Notamacropus eugenii: one gene and its partner. The protein of the gene in region 2 binds, or shares a complex with, the protein of the main gene of each other region. Links are inferred from orthologs where the notes say so. Each region holds a gene or a part of one and is shown on either strand. Other genes may lie near its edges.

What was found.
Region 1: the proteins of DDN (region 2) and MAGI2 are in contact, whole or in part, in a crystal structure (PDB 6KKG), measured with the Mus musculus proteins. The link is inferred for Notamacropus eugenii from reciprocal best matches to the Homo sapiens genes DDN and MAGI2. Residues at the interface, in NP_001013763.1 of Mus musculus: Asp222, Arg223, Pro224, Pro225, Pro226, Tyr227, Val228, Ala229, Pro230, Pro231, Ser232, Tyr233, His237, Arg238, Thr239, Leu240, Gly241; in NP_001164217.1 of Mus musculus: Glu308, Met309, Ala310, Tyr311, Thr312, Glu313, Gly315, Tyr318, Ile320, Asp321, His322, Lys325, Thr326, Thr327, Ser328, Trp329, Asp358, Tyr361, Tyr364, Val366, Asp367, His368, Arg371, Arg372, Thr373, Gln374, Phe375.

What each region holds. Positions count from the first base shown.
Region 1 is NC_092874.1:155,950,175-155,966,263, forward strand, and holds the start of MAGI2 (membrane-associated guanylate kinase, WW and PDZ domain-containing protein 2), read right to left. Parts: upstream 5,954-16,089; 5' UTR 5,376-5,953; coding exon 5,075-5,375; intron 1-5,074. UniProt on the Homo sapiens protein: Seems to act as a scaffold molecule at synaptic junctions by assembling neurotransmitter receptors and cell adhesion proteins. Plays a role in nerve growth factor (NGF)-induced recruitment of RAPGEF2 to late endosomes and neurite outgrowth.
Region 2 is NC_092874.1:220,872,388-220,888,014, reverse strand, and holds DDN (dendrin), read left to right. Parts: upstream 1-8,854; coding exon 8,855-9,063; intron 9,064-9,513; coding exon 9,514-11,491; 3' UTR 11,492-11,585; downstream 11,586-15,627. Other genes in the region: PRKAG1 (5'-AMP-activated protein kinase subunit gamma-1), read left to right, coding at 557-605, 3,043-3,411, 3,551-3,609, 3,850-3,895, 4,000-4,054, 4,231-4,357, 4,497-4,662, 4,793-4,830 and 2 more. UniProt on the Homo sapiens protein: Promotes apoptosis of kidney glomerular podocytes. Podocytes are highly specialized cells essential to the ultrafiltration of blood, resulting in the extraction of urine and the retention of protein.

The DNA of each region.
Region 1 (16,089 bases), about 65 Mb from region 2:
TTACATGTATGAGTTAGGTAGCATAAGTATTATCTATTTTACATATCAAGAAATGGGGGCTCAGCAATGTTAAGTGACATCTCCATGGTTACACAGCTAGTCATAAATAGAATTTAAATCCAGATGTTCTTACTGATCTCTCTCTCTCTCTCTCTCTCTCTCTCTCTCTCTCTCTCTCTCTCTCTCTCTCTCTCTCTCTCTCTCTCTTTCCTCCTCCTCCTCCTCCTCCTCCTCCTCCTCCCTTCAAATGACTTCCTCTTAGCTAAACCAAATGTCTTTTTTTTTCCAGTACCCTCCTTACTTGTATTCACCATGGCAGTGCCCCACTACTGAGCATGCTCTCCTTCCTTCCATGAGGTAAGACACACTCTTAATTCTCCTCTTCCTCACCCTGATCATTGTTCACAAGGACTGTGATGATTGAAAGTTTGTGGTGAATGATTCACTGGCAGAGGAGGGAGGGAGTTAATTCCAGAAACAAAAGGATGGTGAAAGTACTAGTTTTGTATAAAGTAGCTACCCATTACTGAAACATTCAGCATGAGGAGGGACAAATCTAAAGCCTCTACTGAGTACTTCATTCTGCTTATAGATATTATCTTTAACTATAGGATTAATTCTTCACTTAGAGAAAAAGTTTTAATTCATCTTCAAGATCAAAAAAAATCAACTATATCTTTGAATTTGACTATAACTTTAAATATGTAAATCATTTTGCATTTTCCCACTAGGAATATTATTAACCCTCAACTCTAGCTCAAAATTTGAGAAGTCTTCTAAGCTTAAAAAACTTTGCAATGCTACCATATCTTAATGACTGACATAATTGGAAAAGGATTATCAACTTTTTAGTCTGCTATTTTTAAATGAGTTTTTGAAAGCCATTGTTTAAAGCAGAAAGAATCCAAGATGAGATCTGTGGTACATTTTTGCTCCTTGAGAATTTGCATGTTTGAGTTTCAAGTCACTGAAAGGAAGATGTGCTTATACTGCATGTGCTGAAAGATCTCACATTGTAAATGTTATGAGTAGTGACTAGTACTTACATACTTCTGACTGTGATTTCATTCTAAGACTAATCTCCCTCTTTTTTTAAAAAAGGCAAATAGTTGATTAGTCCTTTCAAGATTGTGTTCCTTTAATTACTTATGTACAGGGAAAATGTACACAAATGTCATGAATAAATCATGCCAAAATAAAAGTAATATGCTCATTAACTTTGTTTCAGGATGGTAAAGATATTTTATAATCAAAGAAAGTGCCAAGTTACCAAAATATTTAATTTTGATGCACATCTCCTATTCCCATCCCCTACTTCAAAGTATCATGAGGAAAAAGTCATCTTTATTATGAGAGAGTATGTGTCTTGTTTCACCAAAAAGAAGGAATATATAAATAACTCTTTCTATAAAGGAGATCAAAATTAGACTGTTAGTAATTATGTTTCATTTTATTTCTTGGAGTCTTCAAATGAGTAATGGGTAGAATATTCCCTTTCTCTGGAACTAAGGGGGTTAGGTGAAGCTACTTCTCCTTTTTTCCCTTTTCTCCTATTTTCCATTTGTAAGTACTTCAAAAGAAAACCATGGTACATGACTATTTGTGTCACCAGGTGGTACTGGTAGCCACAGTCCAAAAAATGTAGTACAGAAGTATTCCTTGTGACTGTGTTATGAACTATAGTGTGTATGTCTATGTATCTGTGTGAGAATTCACACACACACACACACACACATACACACACACACACACACACACCATTGAATCTTATTCAAGGAATTTTCTATGAATACAATTCCTCAATAAAATGAATGAAAGTAAAAACAGTTACTTAAGAGCAAATCACTTGGGTAATGAAAATTAATTATTTTAAAAGCACAAAAGGAATAATTTACAAAAATTGGATTTGGGACAATTATATATTCCACATTTGTATTCTATGTCTGAATTGGAAATATGCCAACTTAAATTAAAAAGTGGATTTTTATGAAGTTGGCTAAATAATAATTTTAGAAATGTATGCTTTTAAGCCACATAGCAAAATGACTATCGATAGCAATATCTTAAAATTGCAATACATCCAGGGATAGCCAATGCACAACTAGATAAGAGTGAAAATTCATCAATTTTTTGAATGAATTGAAATGAAAATATTTTTCAATATATGTATTCATGTATGAACATATCATTTTGTAGTATGTAGCAAGTCATCTGGTATCTGGAAGACATACATTCAGATTCCACCTCTGATATACACTCTCTTTATAATCTTGGGAAAGTCACCTAGAACCTCTCACTGCTGGCCCCTAAGCAACTCATGAATACTAAAACTTGCACTGGAAATTTCCTTACTTGGAATGCCTTGCACTAATTAAATCAGAGATTCTGATGGAAACTAATATTCTCCTTTATTGATTAAGTAAACTCTTCTTACTCTATTCAATTTTTTTTGAAAATTATAATCATTTGAAAGTAGAGCATATTTCAAACTTCAGTTGTTATCTAAGAGTCATACTACAAAGAGAAGGTACACATTTTATTCTCAAGTTGCCAGTTCTCTCTGTGTCAAAGTACTTTCTTTGAAAAAGCAAAGAATAATGTATAAAACTATGCAAGAGTTCACAGATTTAGAGACAGAAGAGACCTCAGAGGGAATCCAGTTCAACTCTATCAATTAACAAATTGAGGAAACTGAGGCCCAGAGATGTGCAGTGGCTTGACCAGGGTTAAGTTTGCTCCCATTGTGGAATAATAAAGATCCATAAGCTTTTCTATTATCTGACAGGATTGAACAAAGAAGAATCTTGGTTAAAGCATAGACATTTTTATGAACTTTCAAAGAATCATAATAATATTATCATGATATACAACACTAAGCCACTAAGACTGAATATCATTTTATTCATGATGATTCAAAAGCCTCATCAGGCTATACAAGTGCCTTAAGTATGATACCTTGCAATTAATTATTACTCTACTAGTGAAACTCAGCAATGCTAGTTAACCAGTAATCTTCAAGAAAATGCTCATTCAACAAAATTTTCTCTATATTAACTTGTTGCTTCTATATATAAACATATATACATACATATATGACTATATACATACATATATGACTGTATATGTGTGTATATACATATATTTGATTAACATATTAAAAGCAATATCTCTTCACATTAAAAGTGATGAAGGGGTTGAAATCTTAGAAGCTATGGTTGCTGGATCTACACAGAACACAGACAAAAAAGAAAAAAATTCAAATCCTCATAGCTGAGCCCCGGGTATGCAGTTTTGGAAAGCATAAAATACTGCATTTGTATCCAACTCTGCATATAGATTCAATTCTCAGTAGGGTTGTAATTAAGTTTGTGAAGATTTTTTTTTCTATTTTTGAAAAATTCTCTTTTTAAAGCTGTCATAGAATCAGAGATCTAAAGTTTGAAGTTTCCTCAGGAGCTATCTATTCCTCAATCCTCATTTTGCAGTACAGGAAATTGAAGCACAAAGTTTAAATGACTTGCCAGGGTCACAAAGGTATTAAGCATGACATGGGATTTGAACATAGGTCTTCTGATTCTGGAGTCTGTTTTCTTTCCAGTCTATTACACTAATTGAATCCCATCCTCCCTTTCCTGCGTTAAGTTTTCCTTTTCAAGGCATTTTTTTTTTACTTGTTTATTTATACATCTAATCCTTTTGAGGACCAAAATATCTTGAATAGAGTTTTGTGGTGCCAGTCAATTGCACTTGTGAGGACAATCTCACAATCATATATGTATAAGTGGGGGTGTCTGTACATATCTCTATAAACAAAAGTAGCATCTTTAATTTATTAACAATGTAAGAATATAATATACCTCTCAAAAAATTTGCACAATCATATATATATATATATATATTCACTCCCCTATACACATGAAATGTGCAAAATTTGCCTATGAATACACATGCACACACATGTGGAAAGAATAGTCTCTATGTGAGTCTCCTTGAAGTTATTCCCTCTGCCAAACTTTTATCTCATTCCTTCCTCCTTGGGGAATCTCATTTTCCTTCAAACAGAAACAGCCAGTAAGATTACTAGAGTTCAGCTAGCACTCTCTCTCTCCTCCTCCCCCACCCCATTCCTCCTATGTTCACATCAGGGGCAAGCCCAAAGGATAAAAGCCTCCCAGAAGCTCAAAGTTGAAGGAGCCTGGGAGGTAACCAGCTGGCATTTCCATCCACTTCTCCCTAGAAACACACCCACCAATAACCCCTGCCAGGGGAAAGCCCAGCCTACTGAGGCAACTCCTCCATAACAGTTCCATTCAATGAGGAAAAAACCACTAAGCGCAGTACATTTTGATTAGATTTCCCCAGTACCAGTACCAGCTCTCTACTGCACCAGCACCCTGCGTATGTGCCCTAGTCTCATCCCTAGAAGTCAAGGTTGTTTAAATACTGCCCTGGGTTACTTGGTGCTGCACATGACGCTATCTATCCACATGACAAGACTGAAGGGGGGAGGGGGGACAGAAAAGAGGGAAAGGGGAAAAAAAAGTTACTGAGTAGCTGTCAAAGAGCCCAAAGACATCTGTTCTTTTCCTTCCTAACCGGCAACCGACTTCGGCGTCTCCAGTCCGGGTCACTGGAATATCCGCATCTCCCCAATTATCACATCTCCCTTCTCCCCAGCAAGTGTTTATTCCTCTCTGCCCCGCTGGCGGTGCCTCTGCTCCCTAAGTTCTTCCTTCCTTCCACTCTCTTTTCCCCAGATCTTAGTTCCACGCCAAGGGATGCCACTGACGCACATTCAATTTTCCCCTCACCTTCAAGACCAAGTTCATTCCACTGAAAAAAACAAAGTTGCATACCATGCCACATCCTCATCTGTACCCTAGCCTCCTCAGTCCTTAAACTACCCCAAGTGGGGCAATCTTCAAATCTTCCTTGCTTTGGCATGACTCTCTGTATCTTCCCACCCCACCGTCACACAACACACCCCCTTTTGCACACACGCACGCCCCTCCACCCTCTAGCCCCAGGGACGGAGTCTCGCTGTCCGTCACACAAATAAGAAAGCTGTGCTTACCTTGCTTGACACACTTGAGTCGGATAGGGTCCTTGCAGTGCTTGATCACTGCCAGCACATCCCTGATGGTAAGCCCCGCCACCGGGGTCTCATTCACCTCCAGCAGCAGCTCCTCCGGTACCAACTTGCTGCCGCTCTCATAGGCCACCTTGCCGGGCTTCACCTCCCCCAGGTAGGGGAACTGTCCATTCTCGGCTCCCCCCTTCAGTTCAAAGCCCAACTGGCCCTCCTGATTCCTGCCAATGACACTCTCGTGGACTTTGCTAGTCCAGTGGCTTTTCTTTTTCAAGCTTTTAGACATGGCAGTAGGGTGGTCTGCCCTGCTCCGCTCCGGTATGTAGGGCTGTCCGGGAGGTGAGAGGACGAGGAGAGAGTAGATGGGGTAAGAAGGGTAAGACTTCGCTTTCCCTCCTCTCGGCCCCACTCCCTGCTTGCTTCCCCCCTCCCCTTTTGGGGGGAAGTGTGGAATGGGAAGTGGGAAGCGGAGGGGATGACGGCTGAGGCTGGGATAAGAGAGCTTGGGGTGGTGTTTGGCGGCCGCTTGAATGACACTCAAGGCTGTGGCCCCGGCAGAGAGCAGAGCAGCGGTGGTGGCAGCAGCAGCCGGAGCAGTAGCTGCGCTGGGGAGGGAGGGAGGGAGGGAGGGGGTGGGGGTGGGGAAAGGGAAAGGGAAAGGGGGGAGGGTTGAGATACTAGGGGTCACTCGCTGCGTGTGTGTGTGTGTGTGTGTGTGTGTGTGTGTGTGTGCGCGTGTGTTTAGCTGATATCCATGGCAGCTGCTGTGAGCGTACTAGTTGTAACTGGCAGCAAGGAAGAGGGGAGGTAGGATGGAGGAGGAGGAGGAGGAGGGGAAGGAGGGTTTGTTGGATGGGGAGTAGGGGAGGGGTTCTGGGCTGCTGCTGGAGCTCCCTCCCCTCCTCAGCTTGACCCGGTAGTGAAGGCTTGGAGAAAGGCAGGCTGGGTCCGCCTGGCAGCCTACCGGAGAAGGCGGGTAGCAAGCCGAGGCAAAGGGAGAAAGAAGCGCGGCTGGCCGAGGGGAGGGGAGAGTGGACAGGAAGGACCAGAGGAGGAGAAGGGGGCCCTAGCAGCCTCCGGGCCGGCTGTCCTCCGCCGCTTGTCCCAGCTCCGCAGTGCTTATTGCCTGCTGCCCCAGGCTCCAGATGAAGAAGGAGGGAGAAAGCATCCCAGAGCATCTGCAGCCTGGGCAGGGCAAGTCCTCTGGCGTGAGATTTCTGTGGGGAAAATGCGTCCGGACTTGGTGGGGAGGGAGGTGCGCGCGGGGTGGGGGTGGGGGGGTTGGGGTGTTGACGAGAGGGAAGGCCAGAGAGAAGGGAAGGAAAGGGGGGGCAGTCAGAGAGCAGTACAGACAAGTGGCGGGAATGCCAATTCAGTATGTAGAGGAGTTGCTTATCTATCTCCTACCACGTCCCCAGAGCCAGAGACTTTAGAATTCTTTCTAGGAGGGGGGAAAAAGTTGGAGACCTCTGGGATAGTGACTGTAGCTGGTGGGAGAGGGTTAAAGCAGCTTGGAGTCCTAGTTTGCCAGCTCCGCCCCCTCCACTTTCCCCTCTGTCTGAAGTGAACCATGGTAGGTGGACTAGGGGAACAGAAGTCCCCCAAATCAGGAAGTAGGCAGGGGGATTCCACACCCCCAGCACCAAGGGCTGCCCTTATCCAGGCTTCCCACTTCTTTGGAGAAAAAAAAGCAAGAGATTGGGGGAAAGACGGGGAAGGGGGTTGTTGAAGCCATTTAAGGAGAGAGCTTAGCTATTTTAACCTGTTCATTGCTGCTGCATTTAACTAGGAGCTCAGGTTTAAAGTACGGAAAGGAAGAGAGACTTGTTCTCTAAGAGCTAAAAAGTGACTCACTGCCGAGAAAGGCTTAGATGGGAATGGAAGAATAAGGATTATTCTAGGGGATGCTACTTTCACTTTAAAACCTAAAATTTTAGTTTCTGGGAGATCGTGGTTTGTTGTTGTTTCTTTAATATAGAGCAGAAAAATTTTAATGGAATTTTTTAAACATTAGTAATACGTGCACTATTTGCAAGAGATGGAGAACCATCCAATCTGGGTTATATTTTGAAAAGGTGGGAAGAAAAAACAAACTCCTTTGGGATTGCCCAGAAGCCAGGAACAGTGTTGCAGCAAAGTCCTACGTTATCTAAAGAAGTTATGAATTTATGAAAGGAACATTCATTTTAATAATTCAATTCAGAAAACTTATGAAGCACTAATTATGGGGGAGAACTTTGTATAGTACACTTTGGAAATACAATATTTGTATCAGGTAGACTCCCAGCTCTCATGGAGGTTATATTTTAGTGGAGGGATGTGATACAAACACATGTAACTGTAACACAATGTGTTGCATTATAAGTATTCTAAGGAGTTATAAAAGCAAATTGTGATATAAAGCCCAACAAGAAAAATAGTTACCAGCAGCATATCAGGGAAAACTTCAAGGTAAGTATAGCATTTGAGCTGTGGTTTAAATAATAACTAGAAATTCAGAAGTCAAATGACTGAGATTAATGATGAGAAAAAAAATGTCCTGAGATGAGAGGCCATAAGGTACATTCAGGGAACAAAGAATAGAAGGGGTTGATAGTAATATGATCTAAGCTAGAAAAATCTGTTGGCATGAATTTATAGAGAACCTCAAACAGTAGGCAGGGGAATTAGAATATTGTTTGGGAGGTATTCACTGAAGATTTTTGAGCAGAGGAGTGATATGATGAGATGAATACATAAGAAATCTAATACAAAGAGCAGTGTGTAAAATGGATTGAAGGGAAGGAGAGTAGAAGAGGAAATACTTGTCAAGAGCCTAGATTAGTAGTCTAGACCAGCGGTGGGGAACCTGTCTCCTCGATGCCATATTTGACCCTCTAGGTTCTCAAGTGTGATCCTTTGACTGAAGCCAAACCTCACAGAAAAAAAAAATCGGATTCAGTCAAAAGGCCACACTTGAGGACCTAGAGGTCACAGGTTTCCCACCCCTGTTCTAGGCAGATAGTAATGAGGGACTGCTCTAGGTGAAGGCAACAAACAGATGTGAGCAATATTGCAAAGCTGAGATTCACTGATCATGGAAACTCAATGGAAATAAGAAATTAGGAAGATTCAAATATAAGCCTGAGGTTATGAACCTCAGAAATAGGATAAATGGTCATTTCACAGAATGACATACTTAACTCTTGACTATTGTCAGAAGTCTCAAATCTTCCTCTCTCTAAAGCTTTAATATATAGGATACCTCTCTCTTACTTTTCTTCACTAAGCTGAATCTCATTCACTCATCCTCAAAGCAGGACATCTGGAGCCTGGAGGAAGCTTTGGTTTGTAATGATTTTGAGATGGACTTTTTCCTCACCCCAGAGTTTCAGAGCCCAACTTAAGAAAGTCAAAGTTTTTTTGTACTTTAAATGACTATAAAATTAAAGTTTAAGCCACATGAAATGCAGGAGAGAGAAAATGAGAGAAACACACAGAGACAGAGAACAAGACAGAGAGAGAACAGAGACAGAGAGACCCCTGCCTCTAGGAGACTCTATTTTTCTTTTCAGGGTGCTAAATTGACTTATTTCCTAATAAAGGAAAAATCAGGGGATATTCCCTTCTTTTCTCCACTTCTAAATGCAACCACACTGATCCTGGAGAAGAAGCTTATACTTTTGATTGACCTTCTCTGGTTTGTGGCTGTCTTTGGTCAGTGGTGTAGATTTCTACCACCTTCCCCATCTTTCTACTTCAATTTTCATACTGCTCTGTCTGAGAGTGGTAGGAGAAGCAGAGTAGATCAAGAAGTAAAAGCTACATTGTAATTCCTGTAAGTTTTTGGTTATTTTCCTTTTGAAGACCAAAGCCAAGAATAAAAGCTACAAAAAGGCAAACTATAATGAGCTCTTAGTTTGCGGTGCCAATAGGACACTCAGGCAGACATGTCCACAGGCAGCCTGATGTGTAGTTATAGATCTTAGAGGAGAAAGAAATCTACACTTGGGAGTCATTAGCATGGACAAGGTGCTTGTAGGAATGTAGTGTACTTTCCTTTGGAAATGAAGAATTGTGCAACCACTAAAGCCAGGAATAAGATCAGGAACGAGTGAAGGAGAAAAATGGAAAGTGGAAAACCAAGAGTGTGTCTTGCTCATGAATTAAAGGAGGGGAGAGCATTTACTAGTGGGGCATCACGATGCTAAAACCAGTAGAAATAAAGGAAGTACTCAAAAAAGGCTATTTGAGCAGTTTCCATTAATGACTGTGGACAAAGCCCTTGATTACAAGATTTAGAGAATAAGTGTGAGGAAATAGAGGACTTGTATACTCGCAAATATTTTTCAGAAAGTTTACCACTGATGAGAAAAAAAAAAAACATGGGATAGTTAGTACCTGATTGAAATAGAAGAATCAAGGAAAAATTTGGTTTTGTTCTTGCTTGTTTGTTTTTGGAATGAGGAACATCTAAGAATGTAGGTGGATGAAATCAATCATTAGACACTAGATAAACAGTAGAGAAGGTCTTGGATAAAGGAGGAAAGAGTCATAAAGTTGAATGGACCTGGGGAAGAGCAGGGTTGAAAGTTGAGGACAAAGTCCTGTGGGCTTAAGAAAGAGAGACTGGATAGCTGGAATTGGCGAGGTCATATAATACAGGTAGATTGCAGTGTCATTCTTCAAGGTCAGAACTTAATCACAAGAATCTTAGAGGCTCATCTTGTCCTAGAATTTGAAGTGGAATTTGTAAAGTTGATGTTTTGTACTTTGCCTCTTCAGAGGTTTCTAACCAGATGTGTTATATATTGCTGTCTCCCTAATTCTAGAAACAGATCTTCTGTGTGATAGAGAGCTGATCATATGGCATAAATTCTCAGAGTTTCTGAGAACACATAGGGAGGTTAGTCCAAACATAATGTTGATAGAAAAGGGTATCCAATATGAATACTTACTTTGAGAGACAGCTAGATGGCATGGTGGATAGTGTTAAACTTGGAGGTAGAAAGAGCAGAGTTCCGGTTCTTGCTGGTTCACTTACTTGGTTTAGAAAAAGTCACTTGAGCTCTATCTGACTCGGTTACTTTATCTGAAAAAAGAGAATTACAATAATAATACTTACCCTAGAGTTAGGATGAGGAAAAATGAGGTAATATTTGTGAAATAGTTTTTAAAATCTCAAAGTGCTCTATAAATTCTAATTGTTGTTATTACCTTGAAAAGAGCACATTAGGAGAGAGACAGAGACACAGAGAGTTAAAGCACACATAGATTGTGTTCCTTCTCTGACACTTGCTGATTGTATGCCCATAGGTAAGTCACTTAAACTCTGAGCCCCAGTATCTTCAACTACAAAATGGTAATCATTAAATGGAGGTCCCACTTGAAGCTTAATAGAGGTAAGAGACATAAATTGTTTAGCAAACTTGAAATTGCTATTTAAATGCCAGTTATTCTTAGCAAAGGGAAAGACAGCGTATTAAAGATTTTTTTTTTTTTGGCTCATGTGAAATGATCTTTAAGGAAACTAAAACAAAGTTATACTTCAAAATCAAAGGCAGTATATCATCTGCCTTTGAATTAAGAACTGGATTAAAATTCCACCTGTGACATATACTGCCTGCGTGGTCTTAGAAAAGTCATTTAACTTTGCAGTGCCCCAGCCAATGCTCTAAGGCCTTAATTGGATAAAAAAAAAAATGCTTTGTAGAGAGAGTTTGCTAACCAATAGTTCCATATTCTGGTAAAATCTCAGATCTAGACTGAAAGAGGGAATTTTATGATCCTGTCAAAGGATCACTGATTTAGAATTGGAAGAAATCTTCTAGGTTATTTAATCCAACCCCCTCATTTTACAGGTGAGGTAACTGAGGTCTGGAAAAGGTAAGTAACCTGCCCAAGGTCACACAGACACAGATAGAAGCAGAATTGAAACTATTTTATCTGACTCCAGCTCTGTTGCTCTTTACATTATATTACACTGCCACATTTGTGTCCTTTTAATATATTTTGTTATTCTCTGGAAATCAGTAACCTGAGTATAATCCATTTCTCCCTGATAAAATGTCTCAGACTTTTCTGGATAATTGTTAATGAGGGGCTAATATTTTGTGTTTTTTTTGTTTGTTTTCAGTTGACTGCAAGAGAAAGCAGATCGTTAAGTAATGGATGTGAGCAGCATCTGAAACCACATTCTGACCATTATTTGAGTATACAACAGTCAATACAACTTTCCATTTGCCTTCTTTCTTGACTTCTGATCCCTGTAAATGGATTCCATCGCTAAGCACATCATGTACAAAGGACACTGTTATAAATACTGTGGGCATTAGCAAATGAAGTTAAAGGAGCTTACAAAGTAATAAAGAAGGCAAGAACAGTATGTATTGGATATGTGCCAATAGCTAACGTCCATGATAAATATTGTTAAATGCTTAAAAATGACCTCAGATACAAAAGACCAAACAACCCTGAGACATTACCTTGATTGCTTCTCAAATGCTTGCTGATGTGTTAAGAGCTCCTGTGAAGAAAACCCCAGTTAATTGGAGTATCAGTACAGGTGCAAGTGATCTGCCAGTTGATTTATTGTTAATCACCATTAGTAGCAAATGTATGTGAACATCTGTGTGTATGCTGATGTATACCCATCCATAGAAACACACAAATGAAAGACAACAGAAACAGAGATTCTCCTTATTCAATTGTTATATAATCAGCCACTTGACAACCATTTATTAGCTGTCTACCATGTGTCTGGCATTGTGTTACATACTCCATACACAAAGATAAAAGCACATAGCCCCTGCCCTCAATGAGCTTATATTACATCTGGATATAAATGTTGCAAACATATGAGCAGTAGGCAGTACTGGACAGGATCTAGGCCTAATTGCAAAAAGGCACGAATTGAGATCCAGGCTTTACTATTAATAAGTTATGTGACCTTCAGCATGTTATTTCAGATACCTGGTTCTCAGTTTCATCATATGTAAAATAATAGAGCTGAACTAGATAATTTCAGATCTAAAATTCAGTGATTCTGTGATAGCCAGAAGATAATAGCTTTACTCAATCTGGAAAAGCTATGAGGAAAATGAATCTCCAACATAATTTTGAAGACCAGAAGAAACAAAGATTGGATGCTGTGTCAGTGGTCACTCTTCAATCAATCAGAATGGTCCTACAAAGTGAAGGTACTGAAGTTCTTAAGGGATGCTACTGAAAGACTATTTATATCTAAAAATAAACAAAAGTATCTGGTATGTTATGAACCTGGGATCATTTCTTTGGATTACAATATTCTACTCCAGAAGTACTTATTAAGATGTAAATTCCTTGTGAAATACTAACCTTAATTTGAATTAACAACTAGTAAGTCTTGAGGTAATTGGACACATATTTAGGTGAGAAAAAAAGAGAAAGACAGAACCAGAGCAGGGGCCACTTCTTTTAAAAAGAAGGTCCTATATAGATATGTCTGGTCCCTCAGGGGCAGCCAGGGGGAATAAGTACCTGGAATGGAGATGGGTACATCTTTGGGTGAGGGGGAAGGACAAAGGAACAAGAAGGGGAGGTAGAAGGCAAACTCTGTGTTTGGAATCTGGGTACTGGAACTTCTTTCTATTTTCAGATTCGTATGTAAGGCAGCCTTTGTTGGCAAATATTTAAATAAGTTTTAGTGTAATGGGAGGGAGTGTGCTTTCCTAGATTGAGTGTTTGTCTTGGAGTCAGGAAGACCTGCATTCCATCCTCCCTCAGCCACTTGCTTATTAAGTAATCCTAGGCAAGTCACTAACCTCTGTGATATTTAGTTTCTTCATTTGTAAAATAAGAAAATTGTACTCCATGATCTCCAAGGTCCCTTCCAGCTCAACATTTATGATCCTATGATCAGAGTTTAGAAAGACAAATAGTAGATCCTGGTTCTTTGTACATAATAGGCCCTAATTGAGAAACTGAACTTAAAAAAATATAGTAGACAGAACACCCAAACGAGTTGTGATGCTCACTAGCCAGGGCCAGTTATAAAACCTCTCCAAATCTCAGGTTTCTTTTTGTAAAATGGGAATAATACTTGAACTAACTGCCTCACAGATTTGTGAGGAAATACTCAAATGATCTGTGACATCATTAATATGGATGTTTCCTCCAACAATGGAGATGGAAACCTATCCATGCCTATTCATCCTGTGCAACCCTTGCTCATTTCTTCCTATAAGTTCACCAGAAGTGGTCCACCCACAATGCTGGGAACCTGCCTTGCTTTCTCTATAAAAGTCCAGGATACCTATAGGAGCCTCATGGGCTTTCCATTGGGTCTTATTCATTTTCCACTAGTGACCAAGGCTTCGTCTTTTGTCATCATATATTTCATTTATGGCATCATTTGCTCCAGCTCTTTGTAATTTTTATGTTTTATGTGCTTGTGCATGCTCATACCAAATCCCTCCATGAAGGTGGGTTATAACAGCTCATGTAATATCTAAATGTTACTTTACATTATATAGCATATAGCTTATTTGATTCTTGACAAAAAATGTAAAAATAAATTTATTCAATTGTAATATATTATTGGTAAAATAACTTTTAAAAATTGTGGTCAATTGGTAGTTGAAATGGCTGTCAAAAACTCTTGAGATTATTAGTATGTTTAAGAGCCTTCACACCTCCATCACCTGTACCAAGGAAAAGTGGTGTGTATATATATATATATATATATGTATATATGTGTGTGTGTGTATGTATGTATGTATATGTATATATGCGTATATATATGTATATACATATGTGTAGCTTGTACATAACAGATGCTTAATAATTGCTTGTGTTTTTTTAACCAGCAACCCCAGCTACAGTTTCACCTTTCATGATGCCCCTAGTTAGTGCTTTCTTCCTCTTTAAAGTATTTTGTGTATACTTATCTATTTGCCAGTTGTATCTTAACCTTCCCTTTCTAGTATAATAGAACCTCTTTGAGGGAGAGGAGCTGTTTTTTTATATTTTGCTTCCTTAGGACAATGTCTTACACATGATAGGTACTAAATAAATAAATGCATGTTATATAGAATGGTCTTATATTAATATGATCATATATTCTTTTTTAAAGAGAGGACAAACTGCCTTATATTGTTGACATTGGGTTTTCAGTGAATATTCTTGTCTTTTTGAATGAAAAAATGTAAAAGAATGGTTTGGAAGGAATCAAAAGGAAATTAACATTCTACATATAATATCCGCATAGTGCTACCATATTTATGGTTCACTAACATATTATGTAAATTGGCATTATTGTAATTGAAGCTTTATACAACTATATTGAAATTACTGTATTTGCATTACAAATCACAATATTACTTAACATTTAGTTTGTACATTTTATTTGAAACTATAGGTAAGGGTCAACTTTGGGGTCTCTAAAGTTGCAGAAAAAGAGAAAAATATGTAAAAGTTTATGCAGTCATGTATTTTCAGTTTGGAAATGAATATCTAAGTGCACTGTTAAAAATACTTATGAAATATAATGTTTCAGATTATCCTTGATTCATTCTGAGGTTTTCTTTTAAGTGTGATCTTGTTCCCACTTATCCTTTAATTGCCATTTACTTGCATGATCTACCTCTAAGACTTCTGTTTCAAAGCTATTCAATACTAAACGGCATTAAGGTGTGATAAAGAGAATGACTTAGAGGTCAAAACCTTTCCTGTTGGCAAAGACAGTAGGAGACAAGCTGTCAAAATACATTTTATAAAATCTCCTAAAGTACACATTTGCAAGAGAGCCACTTAGTAAGAAATTATAACAGCTTGAGTGTGTGATCATTATAAACTCATAAATGAATGAATGTCTTCTAATAAGCAGTGTTAGGCTAGGCTTCAGACAGAGTTGGGCCTATGTAAAATCATGAAATATATGAAGTTTGCTTTCATCACCCTTCCATCTTTCTGTACTTAGTTGTTGTGTTTGTCCGTCCTTGCTGAATTCTTCACTGCCCCCTTTCAGATACCCAGTGCCTTCATACTTTTCCTTCACATACCCAGTAAAACGTTTTCTGATGATGGCCTCTATGTTTTAATATGAATTAATTTTTTTCTGTATTACCTTTCCATATATTATAATCCAAAAACAATCTTCTGTTAAAGTAATATCAGTTATCACCCAGTAGACTGGCAAATATTTATTTGTTTTGTTTCATTTCTTGGTCAGGAATCTATCTTTCTATCAGGGAATCTTATTCCTAAGCCAGCCCTGACCTGTGCAGAAATAACCATGGCAATACCTCTCCTACATCATCCCTCTTCATAAGACTTCCCCTCCTCATTTTCCTTTATCCAACAAAACTCATCTTTTTATGTAACTGACTAAACCAATCCATGTTAATATGATAGTGACGATAGTGTCTCAATGTCTTGCCCCTGTATGGTAATATATTTTCATTATAATAAATCTTTTTTTCTTGAGACAGGATCTTTCTTCAAATGAGCTCTCTGAATGCTGAGGGTTTAAAGTTTTGTAGCAAGCTGATGGAATAAATATTTTGTATGTGCGTTTTCCCTCTTGCCCACTCCCTTCAAATCACACCATAAAACACCTACCAACTGGGGTTGTTAAATGAGCTGGCATTTATAAGTGTCCTATTCCCAAAATACCATGTGAGTAGCACCATCTCCTTTCTCAAAAGCTTAAAGAACTCTGTTTCTACAGTCAGATCAAAATATGTATGAATTTATATAAATTGACTAGAGGGAGGAACTCTTGGGCCACATGCAAAAAACACAAAATGACAGCAGTGGTGGAGCAACAAAGGAGTTTTGGGACCAAGTTTTCTAGGCCTAGAGGATGAGTTCCTAGACAGTGCTAAATGCTAGGACCAATCAGGGTCAGGACCTGAGCTTTAGTAAAAGCATTAAAGGGTAAACCTGTATCTTGCCCTTCATTGGTATTATGAATTATGTGGACTGCACAGAGAAAGAGGGGGGTCAACTCTAAGTTTGGGTGGGAACATAAACACCATTGT
Region 2 (15,627 bases):
CTAAACTCCTGGGGACCAGGAACTGTTTATTTTTTACCTTTCTTTTTGTCTCCAGTACTTAGAGAAGTGCCTGGCATGTAGTCAGAGCTTAATAAATACTTGTTGACTGATCCACTGAATTGACAAAAGGTATTGGGTTGGAATTTCGAAAAAACTTCTTAGCTACAGAACATGTTTCATGTTTATCCTTCAGACATTCAAGTGGTGATGACTGACTGGCTGCCAGTTTCTCCCTGTCTTTGTGATTAGGGACCAAGTGGCATGGTCCTTATGCTCAAGATAGTACTTGGGGAAGGCATTGATATCCCACTATCCTGTTTTTGACCCCCATAGCAGATTCTTTGGGAGTCAGGTGTGGGCCCACATTTTGGGCTACGTTTTCAAAAGCTTTTGTAGCTTAGCCTAGGCCAGGAATCACTGGTGTCAGTTTTAAAGCATTGTTTCTTTTATGCTGCCTTCCTTATTGTTGGGGGAGGGGTAGATTCAAGAGCCATGAGAAACATAATGAGGTTAGTAGATCCTAAGTTAGGCTTAGTTCCTTTGTTTGTCCTTCCAGGTCACTATTCCAGAGAGTGGTATGGAAAAATGCACCCCAGCTCTGGAAGGTAATATATTTCATCATGATATACTCCAAGAAGGATGGGTACTTCTGTGAAAACCAGTGACCAGTCTATAATTGGTCTTCAGTTTCAGCAGGTTTTGTTTCTCTCCCATTGTACATGCTGGGGATATCAGGGCTGAGCCAAAAACCAGAGATATTAGGCCGCTTTATAAGAATTAGAATCAAGAGCTTATATAGGGAACAACAGGAATAAGTTTGGTGTTATAGGGGTGCTTATTAAGATTGTCATAAGTGATTTAGATAATTAGAGTAGGATTTTTTTTCAGTGGGAGATTCTGAACTGTTGTCAGTGGGAGAGCTATAGGCTAGAAGACCACATTATAGAAGTCCCTGTTACTTATTAAAGACCCCAGAGCCAGGAACCACCAGTCTTTTGTCACCCAGCATCTGAGTGTGTACCCTCACATCTGGGATGGCTTTGAAGACTTCTACATTTTCCCAGCATTTCAAGTCAGGAATAGAATGGATTAGGGATATAGTAATAAAATCCAAGACACAGGGTTTAGCAGTCCTACAGTGTTCCCAAACTCCTGTCAGTTTTGAGCCATTATGAAAGAACCCTGAATTGCCTTTACAGTTGCTTCTCTATACTGTGTGACAGGCTTTCGAACCTCACCCCAAAATAATGAAATAATCTTCCATTTATTTTAAAAAAAGATTTCTATTGCCGTAGGACATTAAGATTCCAAAGAGATGACGTAGACCTTCCCTGATGGATAGAGAGAGGAATCAGGACTTGACCTGTGATTTCATTGGTATAGGGAATCTCCTTCAGCTGAAGAAGCTTCATTTACCAATCCAATCAGTACCTTCTCTGAAACTTCTAGTCTTAAAAAATTGCCTAGAGTACTGACGGATTAAGGGATTTGCTTGGGGTCACATAGCCGGTATGCAATAGAGGTAGATTTGATCCCAGGGCTTCCTAGCTTCCAGGACAATCTTATATCCACTATGCCACACAACCTCTATAAAACGTATAATTTAAGGGGGTAGAAGGAAACACATGTACACAAATAACTATGATAACGAAGGAGTGATCCAGGAAAAGTAGCATGTGAAATTTTAGGGAAGATCATTTTGATTTGGTTGGGAAAAGGGAATAATTCCTGAAGGAACTGGTATCTAAGTTGAGTTTTAAGGGAAGGAGGAGACTTTCAGCATTAGGAGGTAGAGTGGAAAATTAACTAAACAGGAGAACAGTACAAGTTTGGAGAGGAGTGAGGGAAGGATGAGAAGTGGGGATAAAAGCTACCCTTGTCTGTTCTGAAAGTAGGGTATAAGAAAATGAATAGTATGAAGTAGGACTAGAAAGGTAGGTTGGAAGTTGGAAGGTTATGGAGACTCTTGGGTGCCAGGGTAAGGAGCTTTTAATTCATTAAGTAGTGGGCAGCCATTGAAAGCTATTGAAAAGATTATTGACATTAGGAAGATTATTGGGGCAGCAGTGCGAAGAGTGGAAAGCAAGGAAGCCAGTTAGGAGGACCTAAATATGCCCCCCTTCACCATTTCTGGAACTCCTTGAAGCTGCTGTGGACTTCCCAGACAGACTTTTATACTAGCCTCAGAGACTCTAGAGGCTCTATGGGATTTGGAATAATGGCTGAGGATAAAGGATAGAGATAGCTCTCTTCTTTATATTAAAAAAAAAAATCCATGTTGGGCACAGGATGAGGTAGGACAGTGCAGGCTATGGATATTTCCCTAGTTTGACAAAGGATATGGAGATAGTCTCAGTTTTCACTGGATTCTGAACTTGCCCTCTCTCTCAAGGCCTTATTAGTGGTACAGACTATTTGTGGATTTTTCTTACCCATCAATAAGACTTTCAGGATCCTACACCCAGCCTGACCTCACCCTAGACCCATCCTCAGAACCTTAGACTGCTGGAGGGAAATACAGGAAGCAGGAAGTCCCATCCAACATGGTGTTTTACTAACACACACCAACATGGTATTGAATTGGAATGGCTTGGATAAGGCAACCATTCATTCCTATCAAAAGCTCTCTGAAGCATCACAAGACTCTTATTCTATTCCAGGAGAAGAGCAAGAGAGAATGAACAGAAGTTATGGTGAAAAAACTTAGCTCAGAGAAGAACCTTCCAGACAAGAATAGACTTCTAAGAGATTATCCTTTGGAGAACTCTGAGTAGAACATTCTCTACCTGACAGGAATTGACATAGCCCTGCTGAAAGATGAAATGGTCTCTAGCCTTGGGAAACTGAGAATTAGATGGATTCAAAAAATCCTTGTCTAGGTTTGGTGGGAGGAAGAAGAATGAGGCAGGATGGAATGGGAGGGTGTCGTGGAGAGCGACCTCTCCATTTGGGAAGCTATAGCCCTCTGACAGAGAGGTGGGGGAAGGGGGAGCAGGGCTCACACAGCAGAATGGAGAACACTAATCCCCTCATGCTATGCAGAGACCCCAGAGTCCAACAGCGCTGTCTATACCTGCTTCATGAAATCCCATCGATGCTATGATCTGATCCCCACAAGTTCCAAACTGGTTGTGTTTGATACCTCCCTGCAGGTGAGTGAAGCTTTTATCCTCTACCCTTTCCCTGAGGCCTCTGCTTTATATATCCCATCCAAAGCCATTTGTAGGGCTACTCTTACCCTTCTTTCCCCTTATGCTTCTTATCCTCCTCCTCCCTCAATTTCTCTCCTAGTGACCCTTCCTTCTCTATTACTCATCCCCTCCTTGCAGGTAAAGAAAGCTTTCTTTGCCCTTGTCACAAATGGAGTTCGGGCAGCCCCATTATGGGACAGCAAGAAACAGAGCTTTGTGGGTAAGTAGGGGTCCGGAGGATGGATGATATCATCATGGTAGGCATGATGGGAAGTTGAGGGTGGCATTTGGGATTCCCTCATCTGAGGGTGTTCTAAGGGGAAGACAGTACGATTCCTAAGTATTCATTTGGCTTCCAGGCATGCTGACCATCACTGACTTCATCAATATTTTACACCGTTACTACAAGTCAGCCTTGGTGAGAAACCCATAACCCGTTGATTCTGATGCCATAGTCAGGAACCATTGATTTCCTCTTTGGGTCCCACCTCCAAGCCCTGCCACTGATTTCTGACAGTGTCTTCTTTGCATCCTCGGGTCTGCTTTCCTCCATAGTGCGCACAGTTCTTGCCCCCTGCTCCACTTCCCAGGGAACAGTCTGTTGGGGGTCTATTGGAATAGAGTGATAAAAGCCCGAACCCTGTTACCTCTATTCCAGGTACAGATTTATGAGCTGGAAGAACATAAGATAGAAACCTGGAGAGGTTCGTAGTAGGGAGTCACAGGGAGACAAAGGGTTGGAACATTTTCTTGGGAAGCTGTTTTCTTTGGTGGCATTTTGTGTGTAAATCATCTCTTCTCCTCTCAGAGGTGTACCTTCAGGACTCCTTTAAACCTCTTGTCTGCATCTCTCCTAATGCCAGGTGAGCTGCCATCTGCTTTTTCAGAATGGAAAAGTCATCATCAAAAGGAACCTGGGAAGGGTGGTGGGAGTGATGACCCCATACATACATGCCTTGGGATAGTCTGACTTTGCTCACTGTCCCCAAATCCTCTATAACCTACAACTGGAGCTAATCATTACCCCGTCATTCCACAGCCTTTTTGATGCTGTTTCCTCACTGATCCGAAATAAGATCCATAGACTGCCAGTCATTGATCCTGATTCTGGCAACACTCTGTATATCCTCACCCACAAACGCATCCTCAAGTTCCTCAAGCTTTTTGTAAGTGCTATTTCTCTTCCTCTCTGACTTCCCATCATCACATATACTGCCCTCAAGCCTCCCTGGGCTGGGTTAGGGAGTTGGTGGCTGAGGGCTGTTTGGAGGACCTGGTAGTCTAGTTAATTGATCTGTCTACCAGATTGCAGAGTTTCCCAAACCGGACTTCATGTCTAAGTCTCTGGAGGAGCTCCAGATAGGCACTTATGCCAACATTGCTCTGGTTCGTACCACCACACCTGTCTATGTTGCATTGGGCATCTTTGTTCAGCACCGGGTCTCTGCCTTGCCAGTGGTAGATGAGAAAGGTAAGGAATTGAGGAGGGAGAGAAGAAGGGGAGGGGAAATCTGTGTCCCCAGAGGTGTTCTGTGGGCAGTGATGGGGGTTCCATTGCTGAATTCCAAGCCCTTCCGGTTAAGATGCCCCTATTTTCACAGGGCGTGTGGTGGACATCTATTCCAAGTTTGATGTCATTGTGAGTGACTTCAGAAGGACCACTTCAGGTGGTAGGGAAAAGGAAGGAGGGATTGGGAAATGTGGGAAGGAAAAGGAGGGAATTCTTTGTGGGTTCAAGGGCTTCCGTGACACTGGTCTCCATATCTGATGGGAGAAAAGAACTGACTCCCTTACTGGCTAAGTGTGGACTGAGAGATGACCAGTTCACCTGAGTTCTGCATTTCTTGGGGGATGGAGTGGGATGGAATTGGGTTTTGGGAATTAGAAACCATGCTTTTGGGGCTCTTTGTCCTCATTTTCCCAGAACTTGGCAGCAGAAAAGACCTATAACAACTTGGACATATCTGTGACAAAAGCACTGCAGCATCGATCCCACTATTTTGAGGGTGTACTCAAGTGCTACCAGCATGAAACTCTGGAGACCATCATTAACAGACTGGTGGAAGCTGAGGTGGGGAAAGAGAAGCGAAAGACTTGGGAGTGTGGGAAAGCTGTGATTGTTGGATTGAAGAGAGAGGCTTGTAAATAGTGAAGGGAACAATGAAAACTACTTGATTGAGTTTGGCCTAAAAGCTCCCTTCCTTTCTCTCTTGCCATCCTATGCCAGGTTCATCGGCTGGTGGTTGTTGAAGAGAACAATGTGGTAAAAGGCATCGTGTCACTCTCTGATATACTACAGGCCTTGGTGCTCAGAGGTGGAGAGAAGCCCTGAGCTGAGCTGGAAAGAGTACAGAAAACACACCATACCTCTGATCAGCCGGATGGGATGCTAGAGGCTCTGATCCCTTTTGTGACACTCACCCACTCACCCAACCTTACTGAGAGGGTATAAAGGGGTAGGAAAACATAGAAACCCCCACACTTCGAAGGAGTAACCTCTAGCCCAGGCACCAACCATCTGCACTGGTTCCCTGCTTGAACTAAGGGCTGTGTGCCCCTCATCCTAGGTAATTCTGATCTCTAAGAGATCCCCAGTCCCCTCAGCAAATACCCTGCCCCTATCTCGTGAGATAATGTACCATGAAACTCTGTAAAGATGTTTTTATTCTTCCTGATACAAAAGGAGTTAGGGGGTGGGGGGAGACAGTGCCATTTCCTCCTATAATGATGTTGGTGGGGGAATACACCCTTTGGATTCTTGCTCTCTTTTCCCTTGCTGTGCTTCCCATGTCTTGGGGAGTTGGAAAGGAAAGTTCAGAATGGCTAGTCAGATTTATTTTTCATAGTGATTCTAATTAAAATGACAAAGATGCCCATTTCCTACAGTATTGTGTTTTCTTTGGGGCTATGAGCACCACTGATCTTGACCTCTGCATCTGTGGCTCCACATACCTCCCTCTTCTAAAACAGACTTGTTACACTTCACATCTCTCCTTTACCCAAACCATGCCCTTCCATGTTCCCAGCCTCCTCTCCCTCTACTGTGCTGGGACCTGAAGTTAATCCCTTTCGTACAGTATCTCCAGGGAGGAGGGAGGGCCCTTTCCCCATACAGACAGAAGTTAGTGCCCAGCCCCTCCCAACACCACTACCCTATACACCTCCCTGCCATGAATGTTCCAGGGACTCCCTCCCCCCCAGTGGTGCTGGGAAGGCAGGACTAGGCTTAGATTCTGCTGAACTGGCACAGTGTGTGAGCTTGCAAATCCCTTTTATTGCCTCTTCTGCCTTTCCTAAAAGCTGGGAATGGTTTGGGTAGCAGCAACAGTCCCAGAGGTAACAGATTTAATCCTCACTTGCCTGAGTACTGACATGCAGTCAGAAGCCATCAAATGGCACCTTCAACAGTGAGTTAGGGAGGTCTGGGGTGGGGGCTCTGGAGGGGAGGTGGGAGGACAGGAGGGTTAAATGCTAGCCTACCTCTCAATCTGGCCTTTCTTGCATTTTTGCATTCTTCACTTATTCTTCCCTATGCTACTTTTCCCAAAGTTCAGGTTTCTTAAAGTTAGGGAGGCTGTTGGAGAAAAGTCATGGGCTTCTGGGCATGCCTTTGTGGGGAAGGGGTACAAGTCCTAGGATACTCCCTAGGTAAAGAGGTCCTGCTGCGATGGGCCACCACCACACAGCACATTCCTGATCTTGAGGGAGGTTTCTGAGTGATTAGATGAGTTAGGGAGTATGCACATTCCATGGGGACAGGGTAGTGGGGGAGAGTTTGGAGAGGAAACTTTAAAAGGCCTAGAATTCTGGTAGCAAAAGAGACAGAGGCACCTTCACTCTTATTTAGCTATTACAATCACTGGAGTCAGGTAAGTATCTGGGCTCAGGGCAGGAAATGGGGGGGGGGGGTTGGATAGGAGTCAGATAAGTAATGTTATTGAAGTCCTTTTAAGGAGTAATGATGGGGACATGATTTAGAATCAGGATGCTTGAATTTTCTGTATCTGCCCCTGTGGGAGTGGGCATTTCAAGGGAGGTTTAAAAAAAGATAGAGAATAACTCCTATTGATCCATTCTCTACCTACCTGGTAACAACCACTGCTGACCCTGTACCCACCCCTACATGCATACACCCTTTTTCCTACCATATGTTTGGAAGGGAAGTGCAGGGATCTTTTAACAAATCAGGATTCCTTGCTATCTATCACTACCAACTCTGAACCCTAAGTGATCTCTTGGGTTAAGGGGGCAATTTTGGAAGTCTCATCTATATTCCTCTACTATTATCCCTTTTTTTTTTGAGGAGGTCAGTGGTAAGGGAGGAATGTTATCTGCTCCACCTAGAACTACATCCTTCCCTACCTCCACTTGAACTGCTAGCATGGTTGCTATGCATGGTTGCTAAGTCTCTGCATGGTGGGTTTGGCGTGGGCTGCGCTGTTACTAACATTGCCATGGTAAAGTTGGGAACCACCTGTAATAGTGCTGGGGGAAGGGACCATGAGAACATCAGAACACTCTCCTACTTTTGTTATCTGAGCCAAAACGGACCAGCGATGGGTGGACATCCTAGGCAGCAACAGGGAAAGTATTCAGAAAAGGGGAAGGGGAGGGATCCTGCAAATGCAAGCACAGCGGTTTTTTTGTCCTTCATTTTCGCTTAGTTGCACAACGGTTGGGAGAACTGGAAGCATTTTCCATTCTACCCGTCTTTCTTTCCTAAAAGTGCAGAAACTCATCCCACTTTTGTTTGCCAGAGTTGTGTGTGGGCATGATAGGGAGCGACTCTTCTCCCTACCTTCTGGGTTAGTGGGGGAAGAGACAGACTGCCATTATGGTCCCTCCCTCTACCCGGAACACCTAGAACTGTGCAAGGTGAAAGGTGTGGTCTCCAAAGCAGGCCCCCAGTGTTCCCGATAGCAAGGAAGGTGGAATGTGTGTGTGTGTGTGGGGGGGGGGGGGGTGCTTTAGAGCTTGGGAACAGCAGCTCTCAGCTCTGAGCTGAACACGAAGCAACCGCCTCCTCCCTCCGCCGCTGAGAAGCGGGTTACTCATCTTCTCCGGCACCCGCACTACCGCTAAAAATAACCCCCAAGAGCCTTGGGGCCGCCCCCTCCCTTTCCCCTGCCCCCAAACCCATGGAAACAGGCAGAGGGTGGAGAGCAAAGACCTTGAATTCCAAGGGACATTTTCTTATCCTAAATGAAGAAACAAGCTAGAGACAAGGAAAGCCAGGAATGGAACCCAAGTATCAGGGCACTCAGATTAACTGTAGAATAATGGGTTAATAAGACAGCAACGTTGGGTAGGGGGAGAAATTTTGAGGGCTGAGGAGGAGGGGGAGATGACCTTTGGTACCTAGTTGAAGAATCCACTTTCCAACTGGTCCCACTTGTGTTTGGGGGGAAGAGATGGAAGTGGGGAGTGTCCAGGTCGGCAACCAAGGACTGCCGCGTGCTGTGTGGGAGAAGTAGCAACACAGAACAACTGCCCGTGTCACATGCACGCACACATACATACACACACACAGACACACACGTGTGCTCGGGTATATATAGTCCCCAGTCCTTGGGTACGCCGCTCTGCAGCGGGTACAGGCTTCCTAAGCTAGGAGGGGGTTCTTGGGGTGGGTGGGTGGGGGGTTGGGGTTGGGGTGGAACAGGATGGTGGATGGCCCGCTGTTCTCCGAGGGGCCAGGCAGCCCCAGAAAGCCCCATGATGGAGAGTCTGCCGGCTGTTTGTGGGTACAGAAGTCCAAGATGTTAGTGATTGAAGTGAAGACCATCTCCTGTCATTACAGTCGCTGGGCCCCTGCTCACCAGCCCATGGACCCTACTGGGGGTCCTTGGGCCCAGGAACCTTCAAGCCACAGGTGAGTCTGAGGGCTTAATTGGGAGAATAGGTTGGGAGAAGGGCACAAGTAAGGGCAGTTTAGGTCCTGACCTTTCCACTACTTACCACTGATTGTAATGATACTGCTTAAGCCTCGCTGCACTCCTACTCCCTCAAACCGGGTGGGTCTAGGGTGACCTCGGGGGGGGGGGGGGGGTAGGGTGGGGGGTGGGGAGAACGAGAGATGGACATGGATTAATGAATAGAGGGGGAAATTGTGTGAAGCTTACACGATTAAAGTGTGACAAGGAGAACCTAGTCACCATAATAAAATAATCCCTATTTATCCCAGCCCTCCCCCCCCCCCCCCATTCTATAACCCTTGCGCACCCATTAGTCTTCATGGCTATCCTTTACTTCCCCCGAGGTTCCCTCTGCTTGTCCCTAAGCTTCGGGGGCCGCTCACCTGGGTTCCTGCTTATTGTCCCAGGTATGGGCTGGGCCAGAAGCCCCCAGAGCGGCTGCTTCGCCGGGCATGGGTGCCCCGAGTGTTGCAAGAGGCAACCAACTGGGGGACAGGGCACCCACCCGAGATCCGACCGAGGGAGCAAGAGAAAAGAAAGGCGGCCTCCCAGGAGCGTGAGGCCAAAGAAACAGAGAGAAAGCGGCGCAAGGGAGGTGGGGGTCGAAGTTGGAGCCCTCCAGGCCTCTGCCGTTCAGAACCCCGGAGTCCACTTAGCCGAGCCCGGGGCGGAGGTGGGCCCCGTCCCGAACCTGGGAGTATCCCTAAGGCCACCCAGCCTAAGGCTCGTCCGGTCCCTGGGTTGCCAGAGCACCTTGGGCCGGCCGGCCGACCGCCCCGTCCAGCAGCGCAGTCGCTGCGAGAGCCTGGCGCCGCAGCTCGAGGGGGACCCCGGATGGGGAGGCCATCTGGGCCTCCCAGTTATGAAGCCCACCTGCTCTTGAGAGGCGCTGCCGGGCCGGTCTCTAGGAGGCGCTGGGACCGGCCTCCTCCCTACGTGGCTCCGCCTTCTTATGATGGCCCCCACCGGACCTTGGGGGCCAAACGGCCCCCGCAGCTTCCCCGGCTGCCCTCCCCTCTAGCTCCGGCTCCAGCTCTAGAAGGAAAAGATAGAGAGGAGCGTCCCAAGAAGAGGCTGGATCCGCGGATCTACCGCGACGTTCTAGGGGCTTGGGGGATTCGGCAGGGCCGGGGCACCCTGGGTGGGTTTCTAGGAGGGCTTGGAGGGAAGACTTCAGACAAGGTCCCTGGGTTCTCCCCCGTGGGTCTCAATAGCAACGGCAGCGAGAGTTATTCACAGCCTGGGGCCAATCAGACCACAGGAGCAGAAACCATAACCTCTGGCACCCCCCAAACGACACCCAGAACCAAGCTCCCTCTCAGTGACACCTCCGAAGGGGAACGAGCAGAACAGACACGCAAGACCTGGGGTCCTTCCCCTGGAGACCAGCCACCCCAGCACAGCCAAACCCTTCCTAGACCCTGGGCCCCTGGGGGCCCAAGAGAGAAAGAGTCCCCGGGAGAGAGGGGTGGGTCCCAGAGGCCTTCCAAGCTTCCAGCCGACTGGAAGGAGACCCACCGAGCTCATACCGTGCCCCGCAGCCCCCATAATTCTGGTGGGGAAAACGGAGTGTTTGTCATTGACGCCACGTGCGTTGTGATTCGGGCCCAGTTCATTCCTACCCCTCAAATTCAACACGTGCAGCTTTTGCCTTCCCCGGGGCCACGGGATTGGGGGGACTCCCTGGCTTTCCAGAAACCCCGAAAAGAGGAGGGAGAGGAGGAGCAAGCTTTCCCTTCCCCATGCCAAAAGCTGCTGCAGAGTAGCCGGCTCTCTCATCAGCCCAGCAAGGGCTGCTCCGATGCCTGGGATGAGGGTGCTGAGGCTGGTGAGCCGGAGGACTCCTCCCTGGAGGAGCGCGCCTCCCGCATCCTGGGGCTCCCAATCAAGGAGCTGGACCTGGGGGCGTCCCCAGTTCAGAGAAGCTCGGACCCGGGCGGGCCCAGCGGAGCAGCTGAGAGGTGCGCGGATGGCGCCCGAGGCTCAGAGCCAGCAGCAGGGGGCCGGCGGCCGGCGGGCCGGGGCTGGGTGCGGGACCCAGGGCCTTATGCCGGGGCCCTGCGGGAAGCTGTATCCCGCATCCGCCGCCATACAGCCCCGGACTCGGACTCGGATGAAGCCCCAGAGGGCGGCGCCCGGAGCTGCTCCTCCGAAGGGAGCGACACGGAAGCCTCGGGTGCCACCAGGCAGCCTGAGCGAAGCCTGCCCGGGGGCCTAGACACACCAGGGACCCCAGGAGGGAGGGGAGAGGTCGGGCGCAGGGCCGGGGAGCTGAAAGACTGTATCCGGGAAATCCTGGATGTGATCTGCCAGACCGAGGAGGCACTATTCCGGGCCGAGGGCTCCGCTCAGGGAAAGCAGGGAGGGGGTCACCCCCAGCCATAGGTTCCCAGACCTCGGACGTGCTCCCGCCCTCCACGGTTCCCCCTCACCGTCCCCTTCACTCTGGCAGATTTCTCTCACCTCTTCTCACTTTTTTCTTCCATTACCCTACCCCTACACGTATTCCGACTTGGAGGTCCTCACATTGAAACCAGAGGAACAAACAGCCATTTGAGCTTTTACGGTTTTATTTTTTGAAGGAGAAGTGGGGGAAATGGAATCTTCTTATGTCTGGACCAGTTCCGTACCAATCTCAATTAAAGGGCTTAGAAAACAAAGCCCAGTGGTTGTTGGTTTGTTAATGTTTTTAACAGAAACCCTGTACATTATTGCGAGGCCCAAGTAATTCACACATCGCCCCAGTATTGACACCATCTGTTTTCTCACATACATAACCAGATAACCACTTTTTGTATTGGACTATCTTTTACATCACTTGAAAAACACAGAATTTCAGAGCTGAAAAAATCTTCAGAAACCACCTAGTTTACTCTCGAACAAGAATTCCCTCAATAACATCCCATAATATATAACATCAGCCTTTCCTTGGATACCTCTAATGAGGGGCAAACACTTCCTTCTGAGGACTGTCCATGATACTTTTGGATAATTCTAATTGTTAGGAAGGTTTTTCTTGCCTCAAGCCTCAATTTACCTCCTTGTGACTTCAGCCATTTTGCTTTTAATTTTCGTCTGGGACCACACACAATAAGTCTAAACCTTCTTCAACTTGACAGCCTTTCAAATATTTGGAGACCACTATCATTTTCGACCTAGGTTTTCATTTAAACATACCCAGTTCTTCAAACAATTCTTATACAAGTAGGAGTGAAGGCCTGCTTTTTTTTCTGGATGGCCCAGTGTATTTTGAAAAGACTGATACTATAGGATACAAAAGGGCCATAATCGGATAGGGAGGCCTAAGTAGAGATCAGATAGGTAATTGAAAGAGGGATAATAACAGCTGGGGTGATGTCAATTAGAGAGGGTATTAGGATAGAGGACTAATTAAAGGGGAGGGGAAGAAATAAGAAAGTGACTAGGGAAACTTTAAAAGTAAGTCTTGAAGCATTCCATAGTGGATTGGTTTGTTAGTGTGTATTTTTTTAAAGAGGTTACTGAAAGGAAGTAAAGGCTGGAGGAAGGAGGGGGAGGATTCAAATCAGTAAGTTCAGGACCTCCCTAATTAAGTTAATTCACTTTTATTCAGGAAGGGGGAATGAGCAAAGAGACCTCTCACTCTCCCCTTCACTCTCACACACCTTGCTCAACTTGGAGAATCCCAAGACTTGATGAATCAACCAACCAATAAGCATTTATTTAATATCTGTCATACCAGGCATTGTGCTAAGTGCTAGGTGGTGGCAAAAAGACAAAATTAACAAGCAGTCCCTACCTTCAAGGAGCTTGTAGTATGTAATGGGAGTGGTGTGGGATGATATATACACAAATTAGCAGATAACAAATACATATTTTATACATTGTGTACATATACATATATAATTTATTATCAGCACATAGGTAGGACCTGGTCCTTGAGCTGAACATTAAGGAAGGCATACAAGTCAGGTGTGGGAGATAGCTTACAAAAATAGTGGAAAATTGGAGATGGAATGCTATGTGTGGAGATCATTTATGGAGTAATGAAGAGATCAGTCTAGAAGGAGAGGTAGGAGCCAGTGAAGTGGAGTCATGAGAGATCAATCTAGAAGGAGAGGTAGAGCTAGATTGTGAAAAGCTTTAAATGCCAGACAGAGAAATTTGAATTTGATCCTAGAGGCAAGGGTGGAGGTTGAGGTTGAGGGGCTTATCTGTGAGTTGGGTGGGGGTTGCCTACTCTGAGCATGTGAAGACTTTCCCCTGGTGGAATGGGCAGATGAGAACAATTTGGTCCAACAGCCATGAAGGCAGCTGAAGCAGGTCCTGTGGAACTTTTAGGTCTTGGTCAGATGCCGAAGACAATAAGGTCATCCACTGCATCACGAGCCAAACCCCCATCATCTTGACTTGTGTCTTGCCATTGGACTTTGATGGCTCTGGAAGAGAGAAGCTAATGAACTTCAATGCAACTCTGCTTCGCTAAAATTCAGTTCTCAAAAGAATCAAATCATGACCCCATGATATCATTGGTCCTCTTTAAAAAGGAGGAACAAATGACAAGAGACAACAGGGAACTGATCAAATAATCCAAAGTATTATTCCTAAAGCATATGTTACAGTGACCCCATGCTCCAGAAGCTTCAGTGGCATCTCTGTTTAGCATTTCAAATCCTTTACTACTTAGCTCCAGACTACCTTTCCAGACCCACACTGAACCTTCACATACTCTGAGGTCCAACCAAACTGACCAACTTGCATCTCTCCTGTGACAGTCTCTATCCCATCTCTGAGCCTTTGCAAGTCAACTTCCACTGGACCAGCATCTCTGAAGTGAGAGGACTTGGGTTCTAATCCTAACGATGCAGCTACCTCTGTGACCTTGGGGAAGTCATCTCACCTCCCTAGGCCTTAATTTTCTCCTCAGTTAAATAAAGGGGTTGGACTAGCTGGCTGGGTCCAAAGATTGCTATCCTGTGTCTGAAATGTACTCCCTCTTTTCCTTTATTCATTATATTTCTTCAAAGCCCAGCTCAAATTCTACCTCCTACATATGGCCTTTGTGAATCCTCCTAGCTGCTCCCCTTCTAACCCCCAAGTTACCTTGCATTTTCTTTATATATACTGTTTATGTGTTTTTATGTGTACATATTTCCTTAAAAGGAGGCAGCTAGGTGGTACTGTGGGGAGAGAGAGTTCTAGAACTGGTATCAAAAGGATCAGAGTTCCAATCTGGGCTCAGATGCTTCCTAGCTGTGTGACTCTGAGTGAAACACAATCTTTGTTTGCCAGTTTCCTTAACTGTAAAATGGGGGTAATGATAGCACCTACCTCACAGGGATGACATGAGGATCCAATGCTTGCCATAGAGCCTGGAACACAGTAGGTGCTTATTTCCTCTCCAATAGAATGTTCCTTGAAGGCATTTTTGTCTTTATATCTCCAACACCTAGCATACAGTAGATGTTTGATGGTTGATTGACAGGGAGCCACCAGTACTTTAAAGCAGAGGGGATAATATGATTATATTAATGCTTCAGGGATATCACTCTTGCAGTTCTGTGGAGCTGGAGTAGAGAGTTTCTTGAGGCAGGACAGACATTGGAAGGCTGAAAGGTGATGAGGGGTCAAATTAAGGTAGTGGGTTTTTTGTGAGTGGAGAACTTGGGATGGATGAGAGAGTTGTGGAGGAAAAATGGCCAAGGTATGAGGGAGGGAGGGAGAGTAAGGGGTGCAGGAGGATTCCAAGGTTGCACACTTGGATGACTGGAAGTATGACTTTACCCTCTAAAGAAACAGGGGATGAGGAGGTAAAGATGTCTAGTTCCAGTCAAGATGGTCTGTAACCTTGGAGGATGTGCTGAGACTACTGCACAGAATAGGCTGCACTGGGGCTGTCACTAATCGTGATCTTAACTGCTAAGAGCTGGGAAGGAAATGGATAGCGTATGAAGTGATAGGTTCATAAGGCAGCATTCGGATGGATGGGGAAATCCCATGTTAGAGAATCTGTGCTTGAATCAAATTGGGCCCCACAGGGCTAATGCCCTAATCTGTGGCCTCTCACTTCCTCCTTCTCTTTTCTGAGGTCTTCACTTCATCTGTGGTTGCCACATTCCTCCCATGATGAAGTTGCATGCCAGGAGGAAATTTAAGAGCAAACCCTAAATCCCTCACATTAAACTTAGGGCAGCTAGAGAGGGAGGGAGTTGGTTAGGTTGGAGTTGGCCAGCCAATCAAGTTGTGTTACTCTATATGGTCACAGGGGGGCACACTTGTATTAAAGAATCTCCTTTCAATTACAGCCCAAACTGGATTCAGTCAGATTAGGGGGAATCGAAGACTTCAACCAATTAACAAATATATAGTGAGCTGTCCCAGTTATAACCTGGGAAGCTAGTCTGAAACTTGCCAACTCCTTAGACCCTTCTATTCCCTCTTCAACTCAAACCCCACTAACCATCCCAATGAAGGAAATCCAAGCAGGGACCCAGACACATTTCATTTCCTCTCTAATCCCTTAGGTTGAGTAGAATTCTGGG